Linked DNA regions of Alligator mississippiensis. Each later gene encodes a partner of the first gene's protein in a complex. Links are inferred from orthologs where the notes say so. Each region holds a gene or a part of one and is shown in the gene's direction. Other genes may lie near its edges. The genes, in order: OS9 and UBE2J1.

Region 1 (9,227 bases):
AGTCTTTTAATGGGCCTGTCCGGCCCCCCCAGCCGGCCCCAGCTGGAGCCCCCTGGGCAGGGGCAGCTGCCCCTCCTCTACAGGCCTCTGGCAGGAGGGGAACAGCAGCTGGAGCAGGGAACGCCAGTGCCCCCCACTCTTCCCTGCTATTCGCCCCATACGTGGCCAGGGGGGCAATGCCAGCCCCCCCCATATTACATTACCTTCACCCCCCCACTGGAACTGTGGCTCAAGGACACCTTTGCAGGGTGTGCCAGGCTCCCTCCGTGCCCAGCACCCCCCAGGGTGTTGCATGGGAGGGGGGCAGGGAAGGGAGGTGCCAGGTTTTGGGCTGCAGACTCCCGGGTGTCACCCGTCCGCTTCCCTGAGGGGATCCTACCTGCCAGGGGGTGAGGAGCGAGGGGCAACAGTGGCACAGCCCTGCCCCCAACCAGAGCCACAGGGGTTGGGGGGAATCCAGGGGTGCCCGTCCGACCTGCTCCGTGCCTCAGTTTCCACTGCTGGAAGTGAGCCCCCCCCACTTCCCCCAATCCTGTTTGCTGAAGGTTGGGACTGACACAAAAATGCCAAGCAACCTCTTGGCTCAAATGCCCTCATTTGCTAATTAGTTGGTGCGGTTGTTTGGCTCCCACCCTCCCTCCCCACGACTCTCCCTTGGCACCCATAAGAGGTCTGCACGTGGCCTGGCACTGGATCATGCTGCTCCCATCCAGTGCTGCACCCCGATGCAACCAACCAGCTCTGGGGAGGAGAAGCTCTCCCACCCACTGCAACGAGCCTGAAGGAGGTGGACCAAGGGCAACAGGACAGTGACAGGGCCTGCAGGGTGGGTGGGTCTCCCCTCCATGCCTTCTCACCCAGCCCTGCGCTGCTTAGGCAGGAAGGAGAAGCCTGGAGTTTGCAATTCAAATAAATCAGTGCCCAGCCCTGGATGCAGGGGAGGGGAGGCAGCCAGAGGGTGTGGCTGGCAAGGTGGGGGGGCAAGGGCCGCAGCCAGGCCCCAGGGACCCCCTCCACCAAGCAGGTACGGAGTAGGCAGGGCTAGGAGCTCATAGGCGATGGTGCATTGGGGGAGGCATCCCAGCATCCTTTGCTGCCTTGTGGGGGCACAGCTGCAATGCATTGTGGGATGCAGAGGGGGTGGCATCTCCCTTGGCACCTTGCTCACTCATGCCTGGCTCTTGGGGCGATTGCAGCAGGGCATTGTAGGAAGGCCCTGGGAGGGCTGACCCTCCTCCAGCCACCCGCCCCACCCCCCCAGTGCTGGGTGCTCCCCATCCCTGCCAAGGGTTGGCTCACCCGCCCCCTCCCCCCAGCCTTGCCCATGCTCACCTTGGTCCGCGTGCTTGGCACTTCCTGGGCTTGTCGGGCCGTGGGCATGGAGCCCCTCACCTCACTTGGGCACGGGCATGGCCTCTGGGCAGCACCAGCCTGGGGGAAAGACACTGGGCTGGGTGGGGGGCTTCTGGGGCCAGGTGACCGTGCAGCCCCAGGGTGCAGAGGGCCTGGCAGGGGCTGTCTGGGCTTCCAGTGCCTGTCTCCTGCTCAGGGGGGTGGAGTGGGGACCCCCCATTCAGTGGGGTGCAGCAGAGCTGGGCAAAGCCCCTCTCTGATGCCAACTCTCCTTGCCCTGCCCCCCCACCAGCAGAGTCCTGCAGTGCCCCTGGGCAGGGGCAGGCACTGGAACAATGCTGAAACCCGGCATTGTCTGTGCCTCCCCGGGCCTGGCTGGGGCCCAGGGCAGCCTCTGCAGCCTCCTGGCTTATGGCAAATGGGGGGGGTGCCTGGTGCCACCTTGGTGGGAGGCACCTTCCCATGCCCCTTTGCCTCTGGATGAACCTAAGGGGGGCAGGTACCCAAGCGGGAGGCACCCAGATAACCCATGAAGCACCCCAGGGTGAATGCAACCAGAGAAGGGAGAGCCCCAAATGCCCCTCCCATGCTCCCCCTGCCTGGGCACGGATGGCGGCTGCCTTTGGGTGGTGCCCGGTGAATCCCCCCTTGTGTGTGTGTGTGTGTGGGGGGGGGGGAGCTCTGCTATTGTCTAGCTGCAATGCAAGGCTGGGGGGGGGGCAGGTAGGACCCAATCCAGGCCCTCCCCAGGGCTGCTACCACCCCTGCCCCCTGCCAGGCTTTGGGGAGGGGGAGGGCAGAGTACCCAGCAAGCCCCCCCCCCCCGATTCCACTATGTGTGTGTGTGTGGGGGGGGGGGGGTGCCAGGAGAGGGTACGGGGGGATCTGCTATTGTCTGGCTCCAGTGCAAGGCCGGGGGGGGGGGGGCAGGTAGGACCCAATCCAGCCCCCCCAGTGCTGCCACCCCTCCCTGCCCCATGCCAGGCATGTGGGGGGGGGGCAATACCGCAGCCCCCCGGCGCGCTGCCCGCGCCCTACCTGTGCCCTGCGGAGGGGCTCGCCCGGGCTCGCTCACATCCTCCCGGCGGGGCCCGGCGCGGGCGGGATGCAGGATGCGGGATGCGGGAGGGATGCAGGATGCGCGGCCCCGGCCGGGGACCGGCGGCGCCCCTGGCGGCCCCCGGCGGGACTGACTGCGGGTCCCCGCCCCCCCCAGCCCCTGCCTGGCTCCGGGGGTCCGGGGGGGGGGGCTTCCTGGGCTCAGACAAAGGGATCCCCGCACAAAGGGAGGAGGAGGGGCTATTTTGGGACACCCCCCCTTTGCCCCCCTGCTTGGCAGTGCCCAGGATCGGGGCCCCCCAGGAGCTCCCAGAGGGTGGGGAGGGGGGAGTCCACCCCGGGGGGTGGGGGGGCTGGGGTATTATTAGGTGCATTGCCCCCAGCCAGGGGTGCAGCGCCAGGCCCTGCACAGACAATATCCCCTGGGCGGGTGCTGAGCTGGGAGTGGGACCAGGTGTCCCGAGGGTCTGCGTGGCCCCTCTCTGTAGCTGGAGGTGGGGGGAGATATTGTCAGGACCCCCAAGTAGGGGCTCGTGTCAGCTCCCAGCTGGGGAGGACACAGCGGGATGCAGGGATGTGTAATGCAGCTGTCCCAAGTGGGGAAACTGAGGCATGCAGCAGGATGGGTGCCTGGAGGAGCAGGGCAGGGCAAGGCCCAGGGCTGAGACCTCCTAGGCTCCTTGCCAGGGATGGGGCTGATTCCCCTGCCCCGGGGGCCTCCCCTGCTCGCTCCCCTCCATCCACTCCCAGAGGCCCTGATCCACCGCAGTCTCATAACTAGCTGGGATTGAGCCCGGGTGTTTAAGCCGGGCAGGGTGCCAGGCGGGGCTTGGCAGGCCGCGGGCAGGCAAGAGCCGCAGGGGAGCCCGGGCCTGGATGCAGATGTTCTCCCCAGATAACAATCCCCCTCGTTGTGTCCGTGCCGAGTGGCCCTGGGGCTGGGCACAAAGGGGTTCATTGTGCTCCCGGGGGTGGGTGGCTGCTCCCTGGGCTGGGCCCAGGCTGTGCGGCGGGTGTCTCTGGAGTGGAGAACACCCGGCTTTAACCCTCCATGTATCCTCCTAGCATTGAACCGGGGGCCAGGCTTTGCTAATGCGGCTAGCTCTGGGGTGGACCAGCGGGAAGGAATTTCCCTTCCTATTGCTGAATGAAGGAGAAAGGGGAGCTCCCCTGGGCCTGGCCCGTGAGCCTTGGGGTACCCAGCTCAGCCACAGCTTTGGTGCCCAGCTGGTGCCCACAAATCTGGGGCCTGGGAAGCAGCAGGTGAGGGCATCACCCGGGCCCTGACCCTAACCGCATCTTCTATTCATTACATAGAAAAAAGCTTTTAATTTGCTGCTCCTAATGGATGGCTCTGACAGGAGCAGGGTTAGCTCCAGTTACCAGGCCGGCAGTGCGGAGCTGCTACATCCCTGAAGCCGGGTGGCCAGGCCAGGAGTGAGCACGTGGCCTCGGGCACTCTGGGATCCGCAGTGACCCCATGCCCAGGGCAAGGGGGTGGCGCTGGGTGTGGGTGGGGGGTTCCCCCCACGACCCGGAGGCCGATCCCAGGTGAGATGGGCCCTGGCCGGCCTTCGCCCTTCCTCTGGGTACAGCGGGCTGGGGCCATGGTGAGGTGTGCTCAGCAGGCCGTGTTTCCTCCCTGGTCTGGCTGCTTCTTTTTTTGGCATGCGAGCAAGCATGCAGTTGTGGAGGAAGTAACCAGCTGCCTCGCCTGGCCTCTGCCCAGCCTGTCCCAGGGTTGCTGCCCCCAGCGCCACCACCCCGGAGCAGGATCCCACCTCTGGGTCAGGTCAGAGGGCATTGGGGGGCCCAGAGACCCCCTCCCCATCTCAGCTGGTGGGCCACCCGCCCTAGGCTGGATTCAGGCCTGCCATCACCCCCCTACCCCAGGGCTGCTGCCCTAGCACCACTGCCCCGGAGCAGGATCCCACCCCTGAGTCAGGTCAGAGGGCATTGGGGGACCCAGAGACCCCCTCTCCATCTCAGCTGGTGGCCCCCCAGCCCCAGCCCCAGGCTGAATGCAAGCCGGCCATCGCCCTCTGCCCCAGGGCCCCGCCCACGTGCCTCGTCCCAGCCCTTGAGCACGGTGACAGCTCCTTTGGGTCATGTGATCTCGTTCAACCAATCCCCTCCTTCCCGCGGCCGCAGAGCGGCCGCCAGGGACTCGGCTCCCTGATGCCGCTGGCCCTTTAAAAGCGCTCAGAATCACGCCACTAGCTCCTCCTTGCCGCTGCGAGGGTAGACGCGGACCAATCCCAGCCTCCCGGGTGACAGTCCCTGTCCGGCCTCACGCGCTCTTAGCTGGCGGCCAATGAAAAAGCGGCAGCGGTGATTGGCAGGGAGAGAGACCCAATCGCACGGCGCTCCGCGGCGGCGCGGGAGAGGCGGCGCGAGGCCCTGCGGGGACGGGCGGAAGCAGCGGCGGCGGCGGGTAGGAGGGAGGGAGCAAGATGGCGGCGCGGTGGGTGCTGCTCCCGGCGTTGGCCTTGGCGCTGCTGGGCCCGGGCCGCGCCGGGGCCGCGCTCAACCTGCAGGAGCTCAGCGACCTCAAGTACGGCATCGAGATCGCGGCCGAGCCCGTGCTGGCCGGGCAGGTGGGACCAAGGGGCCGGGCTAGGGTTGTGGGGGAGGTGGGCGCCCCCCCCGGGACACGCCCCCCCCCCCCGTGTCAGACTGCCCGAGGGCCCCCCCCCCCGCTGTGCTCGGCGCTGGTGAGGCCGCAGCGGGAGGGCAGCGTCCAATTCTGGGCGCCGCGCTTCAACGTGGGCAAACCGGAGCGGGTGCAGAGAAGAGCCACCCGCCTGGTCGGGGACGCGCCAGGAGAGGCTGAGGGACCCGGGCGTCTGTAGCCCGAAGAAGAGACGGCCGAGGGGACCTGATAGCGGCTTGCCGCTCTCCGGGAGGAGGAGTGCGTGGGGAGCTGGGTGAACAGCTGTGCGCTAGGGCAGCGCGGGGAAGGGCAGGACCACTGGATACAAATTCCCGGCAGACCGCTTCAGGCTTAATTCCAGGGAAAACTTCACGGTCAGGGAGTCCCGACTGAGGAATAAGCTTCCTCCAGAGGTGATGCAGTCGCCTACCCTGGAGGCTTTCAAGAGGAGACTGGACCTGGTTGCGGTCTATCTAACTTCAGTCGTCTTCCTGCCTAGAGCGGGGGGGGGGGGGCTGGACCCGATGACCTGCTAGGTCCCTTCCAGCCCCTACCGTCTATGAAACCCTGGCACTCCCTGAGGGGGCTTCATCCTGACCTGGTCCCAGCACCTCCCATCACCCCGTCTCCCCTGTGCCCTGGGGTGGGGGCACCCATCACTAGCTGCTTCCCGAGCCCACCCTAGGTCTCACTAACCCCCCCACCTCGTGCCTCTGTTTCCCCACGTGCCGTGCCCCCTGTCCCTTACCTCCTGTTTGGCTGTGGCAGGGCAGGGCGCAAACCCCCAGCTGGGCTGGGCACCAACAGCGACTGTTGCTGGCGGCTCTGGCTGCCTGGGTCCGGATGGGGAAGCGCAGGGTAGAGAAGGTGAACTGTGCCTGGGTTTGGAGATAACGGTATCTTGCTGGCCCCTGCTTCCTCCTTCCTAAAGTCATCTGATCGCGGTGCTCTGTAGGCAAATCTTTCTAGAAAGCAGAAGCAAGACTTTTGAGGTTGCCGCGTCAGGTTTGGTGGCCGGCCTGTGCTCTGCCCCTGGAGCTTCACCCCAGAAGTGGCTGCACTTCTGGGCCGGGTTGTACAAGAGGGATGGGGGCAGCAGCATGGGAAGCCAGGGTTGCTGCATGAGGCTACGAGCAAACTGCTGATGAGGGTCATGGGTCAGATGGGCCAGGGAGGAGCCAATGGTGCCCTTTGCCCTGGTCCTGGTGCCGGTGGCTGGACACAGAGCCCAGGAGAACCCTGATGGCCCTGTATCCCACTCCCCCAGAGCCGGGCCGAGGACGTGGTGACCATCTCCTCCAAGTACAAGCAGAAGTACGAATGCCGCCTGCCGCCGGCTGCCATCAAGATCCACCGGGAGCCTGAAGATGACCCCCGGGGTTACAGCGGGCTGGGCATCATGGAGCTGCTGCGGCCCATGGGTGCTGCGCCCTGTCTCCGTAAGGTAAGGCACCTGCCTGCACCGGAGGCTGGACGTGGGATGGGAGGTGCCCACCACAAAGCCTGCTGGGGAGCGGGTGGGGGTCGCCCCCCCCCCCCTTTGCGCCCACTGGTTCGAGGCTCAGGCAGGCCGTGGCAGGCTCAGAGAGGGGGGTGGGTGATGTGTGACTGGAGGGGGCCCGGAGTCACACGTGTTACCCACCTTCCCTCCCCCAGACCAAGGACTGGTGGACATATGAGTTCTGCTACGGGAGGCACATCCAGCAGTACCACATTGAAGGTACCACGGGCCGGCCACACTCCTGCTAGGGTTATGTTGCCGGCCCAGCAACATGTATGTGCATACATGCGTGTGTCCCTGCCCTGTGTGGCCAGTTTCCACCCCTACACGCACTTTATTTAATGTTCCCCTTCCCTTGCCCAGATGGGATGAGGGATCCCCGAGTGTCATAACAGAGCTGAGCCTGGCTTGCCAATACCCGTGTCCCTGCATGCACGTGCATGCTGGTGCTGCACGCACGCAGGTGTGCGGGCTGTAACTGTTTGCCCTTGGCTCTGTAGAGTCGGAGATCAAGGGGGATGTCCTGTACCTGGGCTACTATCAATCTGCCTTTGACTGGGACAATGAGACTGCCAAGGTGCGGGGCATAGGGGGTTATGGGGGGGTGGGCTTCTGTGGGATGAGGGGAAGGCATCAGCAGGGGCTGGGCTCTTTGGGGCAAAGTGGGGGCTGGGGTCTCCTGTGGGCTTGGGGGGACTGGACAGGCTGGCTCGTGAGTGGCGGCAGGGCCTGGCTTTCTGGCAGCAGAACCTATGTACTTTCTATGGTTCTTCCGTGACCTGTGTGCCTCAGTTTCTCCACCTGAAGCAGGAAGTGACTTGTGGTTTCCCACCCCCAGGCCTCGAAGCAGCACCGTCTCAAGCGCTATCATAGCCAGACCTACGTCAACGGCTCCAAGTGTGACCTCAATGGTCGCGCCAGAGAGGCTGAGGTCCGGGTAAGGTGGGGAACAGCTGTGGGGGGTAGGGTCTGGCTTTTCACTGCCTGGCTGGTTGGCAGCGTCCTCCCCCAGTGCTGCTTTCCTGGCCTCTGGGGTGGGCATAGGGGTGGTGATTGGGTGGGGGGTGCTAATTAGCTGCCAGGAGTCATTACACCCTGCGAGGTGGGGGTATCTGGCTAGAAAAGGGCTCAGGGAGGCTCTGGCTGGGAAGGGGCTTGTGGGGGGCCTCTGGCTGGAGGGGAGGGGAGGGGTGGGCCAGGGAGCTCTGGGCAGGGGTTATCATTGGGGGTGAGGGGCTCTGGCTAGAGGAGGCATTGGGGGGGGGGGGGGGGCTGGGTGCTTTGTTGGGGGGGGTCCTGGGGGGTAGGGGGATCTGGCCACACTAATGTCCCCTGCACCTCCCCCCCAGTTCCTGTGCGAGGAGGGCTCGGGTGACTACATCGCGCGGGTGGATGAGCCACAGTCGTGCTCCTATGTGCTGACAGTGCACACGACCCGCATCTGCCACCACCCCTTCCTACGCCCACCCGCAGCTGCCACACCCCAGCCCATCCGCTGCCAGCCTGCGCTAAGCCCTGCCCAGTACCTCCAGTATGTCCAGGCCCAAGTCTGTGAGTATCCGGACTGGGGGAGGGGGGCAATACGGATGGCAGGGCCTGGTTGCCCCCCCACCCATGTGTGATCTCTGCCCTCGGCCTCCCTCAGCTGACACTAAGCGCAAGGTGGAGGAGATCTCGGAGGAGCTACGGACGCTGGACACACGGCTCTGGAGTGAGCAGGACCCCAGCCCGGCCAAGCCCCCACCCAGGGAAGACCCTTCCCTCGATGGTACGGCAGTCGGACTCCTGGGTTCCTCAGCTGTGTGGGATGGGGAAGAGCCTTGGCTTGTGTAGGCCACTTGGAGAGCATCCTTGGGTTGCAAATGGGGCGCTGCCCCTTTAAGGACACCCACACCCACCTGGAGGCACTCACTATGGTGGGGGGGCGGGGCAGGTTCTCTCCCTGAGTGGGGGTGGGAGGCTTGGCTGGAGGTGCCAGGTAGGGATGGGGCTGCAGCTGCGGGCACGGCCCCCCTACTCCCAGCGCCACGCTCAGCACTGCTCTGTCTGGTTCCAGGTGAGCCCTCTGCTCCCAGCCCGGCAGAGAATGCTGGCCCCCGAGACCCCCCACCCACAGCAGATGACCCGTTGGACCCCACCAAGGTACATGGGCCATGGGTGCTGTGCCTTGCCCATCCTCTGGGTGCCCTTGACTCCTGTCCTGGCTCCTGCTTCCTTCCTGGCAGGGCCAGCAGGGGGCACTGTGTGTCTGTGTCCAGCCAGGTATGGGGGGGGCAAAGCCCTGGCTGGGCAGCATGGGGTTAAGCAGCCTTGGCTGCAAAGGTGTTGGTGGCATGTGACCCCAGCCGTGCCCCCACCATGTTGTGTTGTTTTGGCTCCCACACAGGAGGAGGAACCCACAGTAAAGGCGCCTGATGGCCCCCTGGCAGGTGAGTGCCTCCGCGTAGGTGTGGGGGGCACGGGGCAAGGGCTTGTGCCATGGCCTCATCCAGCTGGAGGATTTGGGGGCATTGGGGTCCCTGGCACCAGCTCTACCCTGATGTGCCCCTTCCTCCCCCACCCCTGGGGCTTTGGCCCCTTGCAGATTTCCACCGGAAAATCCATTTCAAGGTGATTCGGAGCCCGGGGGACCTGGTGCAGCTCATCGAAGAGCTGAAAGCA
Region 2 (8,348 bases), on another chromosome or scaffold:
AGGCAGCGTCCCTTCGTGGGCAGGGTGGCTGTGCCCCATCCCTGCAGAGCTGTGCAGGCCAGCTGGGACCCACCTCTGGTGCTGCTGGCCCCCCGCTGTGGCCTGAGTAGCAGAGCCCAGGGGCAGCCCCCGCTCCCCACCTGACACCAGCTCTCGATTTACTGTAAAAAAAAAAAAAAGCCCCCAAAAAAGCAATGTTCATGATTATTAATAGTATTAAACATGCAGTGCATCCTGCCATGTACCCCCTCCGCCTGAGTTTTGTTTCTGTGGTGTGCTGGCACTCCAGCACCTTACAAAGTAGACATTGTGGTTTGTTTGGAACTCCAGCCAAAAAACATTGCCTACCCCTGCATTAAGCCATTGATTACTACCCTCTAAGTCGGATGCTGCAGTTTTCTACCCACCTTACAGTCCATTCATCCAGCCTGTATTTCCTTAGCTTGCCTGCGAGAATGTTGTGGGAAACTGCATCAAAAGCCTTGCTAAAATCAAAGTATACCACATGCACTGGTTTCCCTGCATCCACAGAGCCGGTCATCTCATCATAGAAAGCAATCAGATTGGTCAGGCATGGCTTGCTCTTGGTGAATCCATGCTGACTGTTCCTAATCACCTTCTCCTCCTCCAAATGTTTAGAAGTAGATTCTTTGATGACCTCCTCGATTTTTTCAGGGACTGAGGTGAGGCTGACTGGTCTGTAGTTCCCTGGATCCTCCTTTTTCCGTTTCTTAAATATGGACACTATTCCTACCCTTTTCCAATCACCCAGGACCTCTCCTGATAGCCATGAGTTTTCAAAGATGATCGCCAGTGTCTCTGCAATCACAACAGCCAACTCCCTCAGCACCCTTGGGTGCATCCCATCTGGCCTCATGGACTTGTATATTCCCAGTTTTTCTAAATAATCCCTAACCTCTTATTTTGTCACTGTTGGCTGCTACCTCCTCCCCAAACTGTGCTGGCAGGGGCAGTAGTTTGGGAGCTGACCTTGCTTGTGAAGACTGAGGTGAAAAAGGCATTGAGCACTTCAGCCTTTTCGGCATTCTCTGTCCCCCATTCAATAAAGGAACCACATTTCCCTTGGTCTTCCTTTTGTTACTGACATATTTGTAGAAACCCTTCTTGTTACCTACCATGTCCCTTGCTAGCTGCAACACCAATTGCACTTTGGCCTTCCTGACTTCATCCCTGCATGCTAAAGCAATACTCTTATACCCCTCCCTAGTTGTTTGTCCAAGTTTCCATTTCTTATAAGCTTCCCTTTTGTTATTTAGTTTACTGAAGAGTTCCCTGCTTAGCCAGGCTGGTCTTCTGCCATATTTGCTAATCTTCCTGCACATTGGGATGGGTTGTTCCTACACTCAGTAAGGCTTCTTTAAAGTACAGTCAGCTCTCCTGGACTCCTCTCCATTTCAGAATGGCTTCCCAACCCTGAGTTAGTCTGCTTTTCTGAAGTCCAGGATACTTACTTTGCTGCTCTCCCTCTTTCCTTTCCTCAGGATCCTGAACTCAGTCATTTCATGGTTGCTGCTGCCCAAATGCCATCTGCTAGTATACTCCCCAACAATTTTTCTCTGTTTGTGAGCAGCAAGTCAAGAAGAGCACAGCCCCTAGTTAGATGCTCTGGCACTTGCACCAGGAAGTTGTCCCCAACACTCTCCAAAAACTTCCTGGATTGCCTGCGCACTGCTGTATTGTCCTCCCAGCAGATGTCAAAGGGACTGAAGTCCCCCATGAAAACCAGGGCCTGTGATTGGGAAACTTCTGCTAGCTGTTTGAAGAAAGTCTAACTTCTTATGTTTACCCTGAAGTAATCAACAGGCTAAACTAAATCTAGTTAGGCGCTAAAGGGCTGCGTGACATCAGATTTCTGGCTGTTGACTGGGACTAGCAAATAAATATCAATCTCCTATCAATACTCCTGTATTGCACATAGTGGTAACCCTTAATCTAAAACTGTCAAAAATAGGTTTTAAGTAAATGGAAAAGTTTATTTGTAGATTGCAGGTTTGTGAAATCTTTTTAAGCAATAATATTTAGTCTGCTGCAGTTATGATGACTGTGCAATTCTTTTTGCTAAAACCTGCAGTTTCTTATTCAGTGCAGGTGCTTCCTTTGGCTATAAAAAGTTTATGCCATAACCACTCTCTAGCACAACTCTCAACACCCATGAAGTGATAAGGGAAGTTCACATGATTCTTGCAACTACACAAGAAATATTGCTGTACTTGAATTATGCATTTATTCACATAATATTTGCATTCAAAGTACTTTTCATGGGGGAGGATTTGTGGGCACAGATAATAATACTCTTACGATAACAGAAAAAAGTTACAGTGAATCCTAGCATAGTTCTCCCACTTAGCGAATCCGAGTGAGGGGAGAGGGGAACACTGTATAATGGAATGCTCCTTACTGATCCTGAACAAGATGGCTTCATACACTTTGACCCATATCTGCAACACAATCCGAAAATGTCAAAATCCTGCTTATTAAAGTACTGCAGCTTTTCTATATATCCCCAAATTGTGACCATTTCCTTGGGCATATAAATGTTACAATGGAAGAGCAGTAGGGATGGCTTTTGTGCACCAGCTGATGTAATGGGTAATTTCTCAATTACTCCCTTCCTGAATATTTTTATAACCTTGCCCTGTTGAATACATCCCACCCTAAGGTAAGATAAGGTTTCCTGTGCCTTCAACTGCTGGAACTAGAACTGGAATTTTGCCTTGTAGGCAAAAAGATTGCTTGTACACTATTCCACTCAGAAGGTGGACTGAAATGACTATCTGTACCAGCACCAACTTCAGGAGTGGAAAGCAAAGAGTAATTTTTTAAACTTCTGAGCTAGAGATCAGATGAATGGTAAACCAGGATTCAGGACTAACATTTTCAAATTTGGGTGATAAAACATAGACACTTAAGAACATCCCTGAATTAATCCATTTGTCCACAGTATCCAGTGAAGTCAATGGGAACTTGGTGTCTCTGCAAACTAGGCCGTTCCTATGTGTGTAACCTTTGGTGTCTACATTTAAAGTTAAAACAAACCAAAAAAATGTCCTGAGGGAGCTGTGGCTTTCAATTTCGTGGAAAAAACCTCAAGTTCACCTTGTTAAACAGCTGGCAAGACAACGTTGAAAAAACCTGTACAGTTATATATTTATCAGGCTCTTTGAGAAGTTTGGGAAACCCTGGGATGTTCAGCCAAGCTATGTAGTAAGAGTATGGACAGCTGGTAAATTCAAGTCCGTACCGCCTCATCATAATCTATGGGTGAAGTTTTCCCCTTCGTTGCTGTTCTTGGAAAGAAGATGGTGTCAACTTCCAAGGCCCCCCTCTACTAATTTAGATTAGCTACACGTGCAAATGAACTCTGGCACCTTAAGGGCCAACCAGCTATCAAGTTATTGCTGGAAAGTGTGTAATAACTTCATAGCTGGTTTCTAGCCAGCTTTAATTTGCATGTGTAGCCTGTGCCCCCACAGCTGGGAGACTGCAGCTGCTGTGATCTCCTAGCTGCCAAGGCACCCTGGGGCTGCAAGTCCCACACCTGGCAGGATGCTCAGGCCCCGCTGCACCCTGCATCCTGTGGGGAGCAAGAGTCCTATCAGCTACAAGAGCTTGTTATTTGCCAGTGTAGGGGCAACGTGGGATGGCGATCCCGAGCTCCCGCTGTACCTGGAATAAGGCACATAGGGGAGGAAGGATTTGATAAGTCTTCAAATACCTGAAGGGCAATTACAGAGGAGATGGAGATGGGCTTTTTTCTCTGGCTGTAGGGGACAGGACAGGGAACAGTGGCCTGCAGCTTCGTCAACGGAAACTCAGGCTTGTTTTTTTTTTTTTTTAAGGAAAATTTTTCATGTCCCAAGTCAAATCAGCCAAATCATTTCCAAATCTGTGAGTCATTCAAGAACCATATGTAACCCTATTACTGGCAAACATCCTCCACCCCTACCCCAGGCTTCGGATGCTTCCAAATCCTTTGGCAGCCGTCCTATGGGCAGGCCCAAGCCAAGAGGCTTGGGGTTCGGATGTCCCCGGGTTTCCCTCGCCCTCAGCCGTAGGGCCACAGGAGCAAGCTAGCGAGTTTTTTTGAAAAATATCTATTTATCTATATGAGGTTATATCTATATCTACACTCCAAGTATTACTCCACAAAGAAAACCATAACCTGTTACCAAAGCCGCACCCGCGCAGCCTGCACAAAGGCCCGCAGGACACACACACACACACACACACACGTGTATCTCCTTCAACAGGGAAAAGGTAGGCTGGAGAGAACTAGGAGGGAGTTTCGGACTACGAGGGCAGTCAGGCGCAGGGACAAGCTCCCTAAAAAGGTGGTGCAATCTGCATCCTTGGACATTTTCAAGAGCAGCTTGGACAGACCCCCGTCCGGGAGGGCTTAACCAGGAATGAACGGGACGTGAACTCCATGGCGCAGCCGGGCCTCTTCCCGCCCTGCTTTCCCTGCCGCAACCGCAGCTCCCCAGGCACGTGTTGAGGCAGGAGGCGGGAAGGACCCCCGCCGGGGCAGCAAAGGCCAGACCTACCCCGCCAGACCGCCGCGCTCCGTCCGCGGGGCCGGGGCCCTGCTAGCTCGCAAACTTTCACTCGGTTTTGGACGCAAAGCCGGGGCCAAGGCCCAGCAGCTATGCCCGAGCCAGGCCTGTCCTCGCCCCCCCGCGCCAGGGGAGGGCCGGGCTAGGCCGAGGGGCGGGCGAATCGGCGCCTCCCCCGCCCCGCCCCGCCCCGCCCACTGGCCTCAGTCACAGAGGAGCCGCCGCCGCCGCCGCCGCCGCCACGTCAGGAGGCTCAGCCGGCTTCGCCCGCCCCTTCTCTTCCCTTCCCTTCTCGCGGCGCCGCCGGGCCATGGAGACCCGCTACAACCTCAAGAGCCCGGGTAAGCGGCCTCTCACCCCCGCTACGCTAGGCTGCTTCTCCCGTCCGGCGGCGGCGGCTCCTTGGCACTCGAGGCCGCGGTTTGGCGCCGGGCGCAGGCCCTGGCCTGGACCCCCGGCCGGCTGGCCCTGTCCGCGCCTGCGCGAGGCCCGGGGCAGCTTCCAGGCAGGGCAGGGCATTGCCCCCCAGGGGCAGGAGCTGGGGGCGGCTAAGCTCACATCTGCGGGGGGGAGGGGCGGGCAGGGGAGGGACGGGACTGAGCTGCCCTGGCCTAACCCTGGAGCCCGGGGCATCCATCGGCGTCTCCCTTCAAGCCGCTGGGGCTCCGGCTGGCCAGGCCCCAGGCAGCCTCTGTCAGACTGAGGGCGCCCCACCCGCGGGGGGGTGGGAAACGTCAGCGCTTCATTCCCCTTTGGTTTTCCTTTCCCGGCTGCTCGGAGGCACGGGAGCGGTTCCCCTCCAGCTGGTGGAATCCGTGGGCAGAGGGTGTCCTCATGCCCGACCTGACATCTCTGGGTGTCTCGGCTGAGTCGCGCTCGAGTGTGTACAGCGCTAACATTGCGTGAGGGCCCCCACCTGCGGCACCCATGAAAGGCTCGAGGGTGCCTTAGGGAGGATCGCTGTTGTTGGTAAATGTGAGGTGGAATGAAGATGGGGAAACGTGGAGTGGGGGTGGGGAGAGTGCTGAATTTTTTTAGGGATGCAACCATCAGAAAACCAGGCCACCATCAATGAAGGCATAAAACGGTTGGAGAGGACAGTCGTTCTCATTAAAGGCCCTGACATGAGCCTAGCATTTGTGGCTGCTGCTAGCCATTGTGTGCGACTTTAAAAACAAGGGATTGTACGTTTGGCTGCAATGTGTAATCTGTTTGGCGACCTGCAGCTAACTCCCACTGTTCCTTGTACGTTGCCAGTCTCCTCCAATTCCTGTCTGAAGCCGCAGTGGTATTGTCAGTGCAAGTGGAGTTGGGCATGACCAATTGGTTGACATGCCTGGCCTTCCCCATGAGCAGTGACTCTTGCACAGAAGAAGAGAGCAGACCTTATGTCTGTAAACAGTGGACCTTTGTTGAGGGGTGTGCTCTCCCCCTGGCATGCAGTAAAAGGAACTATGTTATGTTGTAGACAAGAGAGAGGTAGTTGGTCATGGGAATGTGAAGTTAGGAGGCCCTGCATCTATTAAAAAAAAAAAAAAAAAGACCCACCCGTCTTAAGAGGCTGCTAGCCGGTTGGTCCAATTTGCACTTTATAGACTAAGAACACATTATAGGTGTTCCTCACTTGTGTGACCCAGGCTGCACTAGAATGCAGTCAGTTGTTTGGAGTAATTTAATTTTCAGTACTGAAATGTATGGAAATGAAAAGTCGTTTCATAATTTATTTTTATTTTTTTTTAATTTTTTACCTCAGCTTAGAATTTCCTGGCTATTTTCCGTGTTAATTTATTGACACTACATGGGCTTCTGTACATAGTTTGACTTTTGTCAAAAACATTTTGTATATAGCAACACAGTAGTTTCCTCTTATGTGTTCTTTCCCATGTACCATGCTTGCACTGAAATAGATACATTTTGTTAATTTGCTTTTTAAGTACATGTCAAAAAAGCTTATTTCACCAAATGCGTAAGCTTCAGAGTAATACATAGGAATAGTTTATAGTTATAGCAAACACATTAGACATGCCTGATCATTTGAGAAGAGTGCTGGAGGGGACCTTACAGTGTTATCTAGTACAGTCCTCTGCTCAAGGTAGGATAATCCCTGACTACGCCATCCTAGCTAATTTTCTGTCTAACCTGCTCCTGGAAAACCTCCAAGGATGGAGATTCCACAATTTCTTGACCAGTCTCTCAGTCAGGAAGTTCCTTTTAATCTCCAACCTAAATTTTTCTTGCTGAAACTTGAGGACTCTGTTCTCCTTTGAAAGAAGCCCTATCAGGTACAGACATTTGGGAGTGATTTAACCCTGGCTGTTCCCAGGTTATTTTTTTCCAGGAGTGGCCTTTTTTTATTTTTGGTGAAAAGCCTGATCATCTGTACACTTGTGGTTTCTCCTAAGAGAGCAGTGACTCTCCCAGGAGAAACTGAATGTCTGTATGAGGTATGTGGCTTTAGATAAGTTTCTCTACCATGAGAACAAACCTGGGAGTATTCTCCCACTTCCTTTCAATGTATACAGAGCTCTATTATCATCACCCTTCAGGTATTTGAAGTGTTATCAAATTCCCCTCAATTTTTTCCTCTCAAGACTAAATAACCCAACACTAGTTCTTTCAGTGTTTACTTGTAAGTCATGCCTCTCAGGCCTCTAATCATCTTCATTGATATCATATATTTTCATATAGCAACAAATACATTAGAGCTGTGACTTCTCAAAAAAAAAACTTGTAAGTAGAAGGGTCACACAGACAAAAGTACAAGATGATAACTTTTTAAAATAATCAACTTAGGAAATCAGACACACTTAAGTATATTTAGGTTTGGTTTATTGCATATGTCAACTGATGAGGCATGCAAGCACACCCATTTGTTATGGCTTGCCACGTCACTGGAAAGAATGGCATTGCACTGAATAATGCAACCTTGGTAACTGGGTGGAGAGAGCAAGTGCCTGTGGTTAATCTGGAAATTTTTTCCCCCACTGCTGTTACAAGATCCTAATTGTGTTCAACAAAAGATGGTTCAAAATGAAACTAGTGGTCAACAGCTGCATGAAATAACAAAATACAGCTACTGTAACAAAACTGAATTCTAAATTCAACCAGCTTGTGATTTCTCCACACTTTTAACTCTTTTGAGTTTAAAAGAGTGCTTTAAAAGATAAAGAACTGAGTTAAACTTTATAATTCAGTTCTTTATTTATTACAAAAACATGAAATGTTTTCAGTCTCTAATTTTATCAATGATTTAAATCAGCAAGCAATCATTCTTGATTTAAATAGTTGATTTTAAACTTTTTGCATTGGTGCTGCTTGGTTTTTTTGTCCGTAAAGATTTTTGTTGGTTGGTACCCATTAAAACATGGTGATTGGCAGCTAAATGTAGCCTTTATGCTAAATTTGGCACTTTTTGCTAATGGGAACATATTCCAGGTGTTTAAGCGCTTGCATAGCATAGCAATTATTCAGCTTCTTAGGGTTTTTTTCTCTCTCTTGTTAGAACACAATGCATTTCATTTTTGGTAGCTGATTAAAAAAATCTTTGGCTGGAAAACATAATTCAAAATACACAAAACAGTATTAAAATCTGTACTTATTAGTTAAATGTGCTAGATATGAGGGTATTAAGGGTACTAAATACATTTACCATTGTCATAAACAAAGATTTTTGTGGGTGATATCAACACACATTACTCTGCTATACTGTTATATTCCCCACAGTTAAATCTAACTCTACTAAGGCAGGGGTATCAAACACAGCCCACAGCTCAG

The links.
Region 2: OS9 (region 1) and UBE2J1 share a complex: the UniProt entries of both Homo sapiens proteins name them as parts of the HRD1 complex. The link is inferred for Alligator mississippiensis from reciprocal best matches to the Homo sapiens genes OS9 and UBE2J1.

Annotation. Positions count from the first base shown.
Region 1 is NC_081838.1:7,429,964-7,439,190, forward strand, and holds the start of OS9 (protein OS-9), read left to right. Parts: upstream 1-4,828; 5' UTR 4,829-4,865; coding exon 4,866-5,009; intron 5,010-6,332; coding exon 6,333-6,509; intron 6,510-6,721; coding exon 6,722-6,785; intron 6,786-7,066; coding exon 7,067-7,143; intron 7,144-7,404; coding exon 7,405-7,503; intron 7,504-7,915; coding exon 7,916-8,117; intron 8,118-8,211; coding exon 8,212-8,334; intron 8,335-8,622; coding exon 8,623-8,708; intron 8,709-8,952; coding exon 8,953-8,995; intron 8,996-9,150; coding exon 9,151-9,227. UniProt on the Homo sapiens protein: Lectin component of the HRD1 complex, which functions in endoplasmic reticulum (ER) quality control and ER-associated degradation (ERAD).
Region 2 is NC_081824.1:76,993,575-77,001,922, reverse strand, and holds the start of UBE2J1 (ubiquitin-conjugating enzyme E2 J1), read left to right. Parts: upstream 1-4,780; 5' UTR 4,781-4,884; coding exon 4,885-4,915; intron 4,916-8,348. UniProt on the Homo sapiens protein: Catalyzes the covalent attachment of ubiquitin to other proteins. Functions in the selective degradation of misfolded membrane proteins from the endoplasmic reticulum (ERAD) and is essential for cells to recover from ER stress.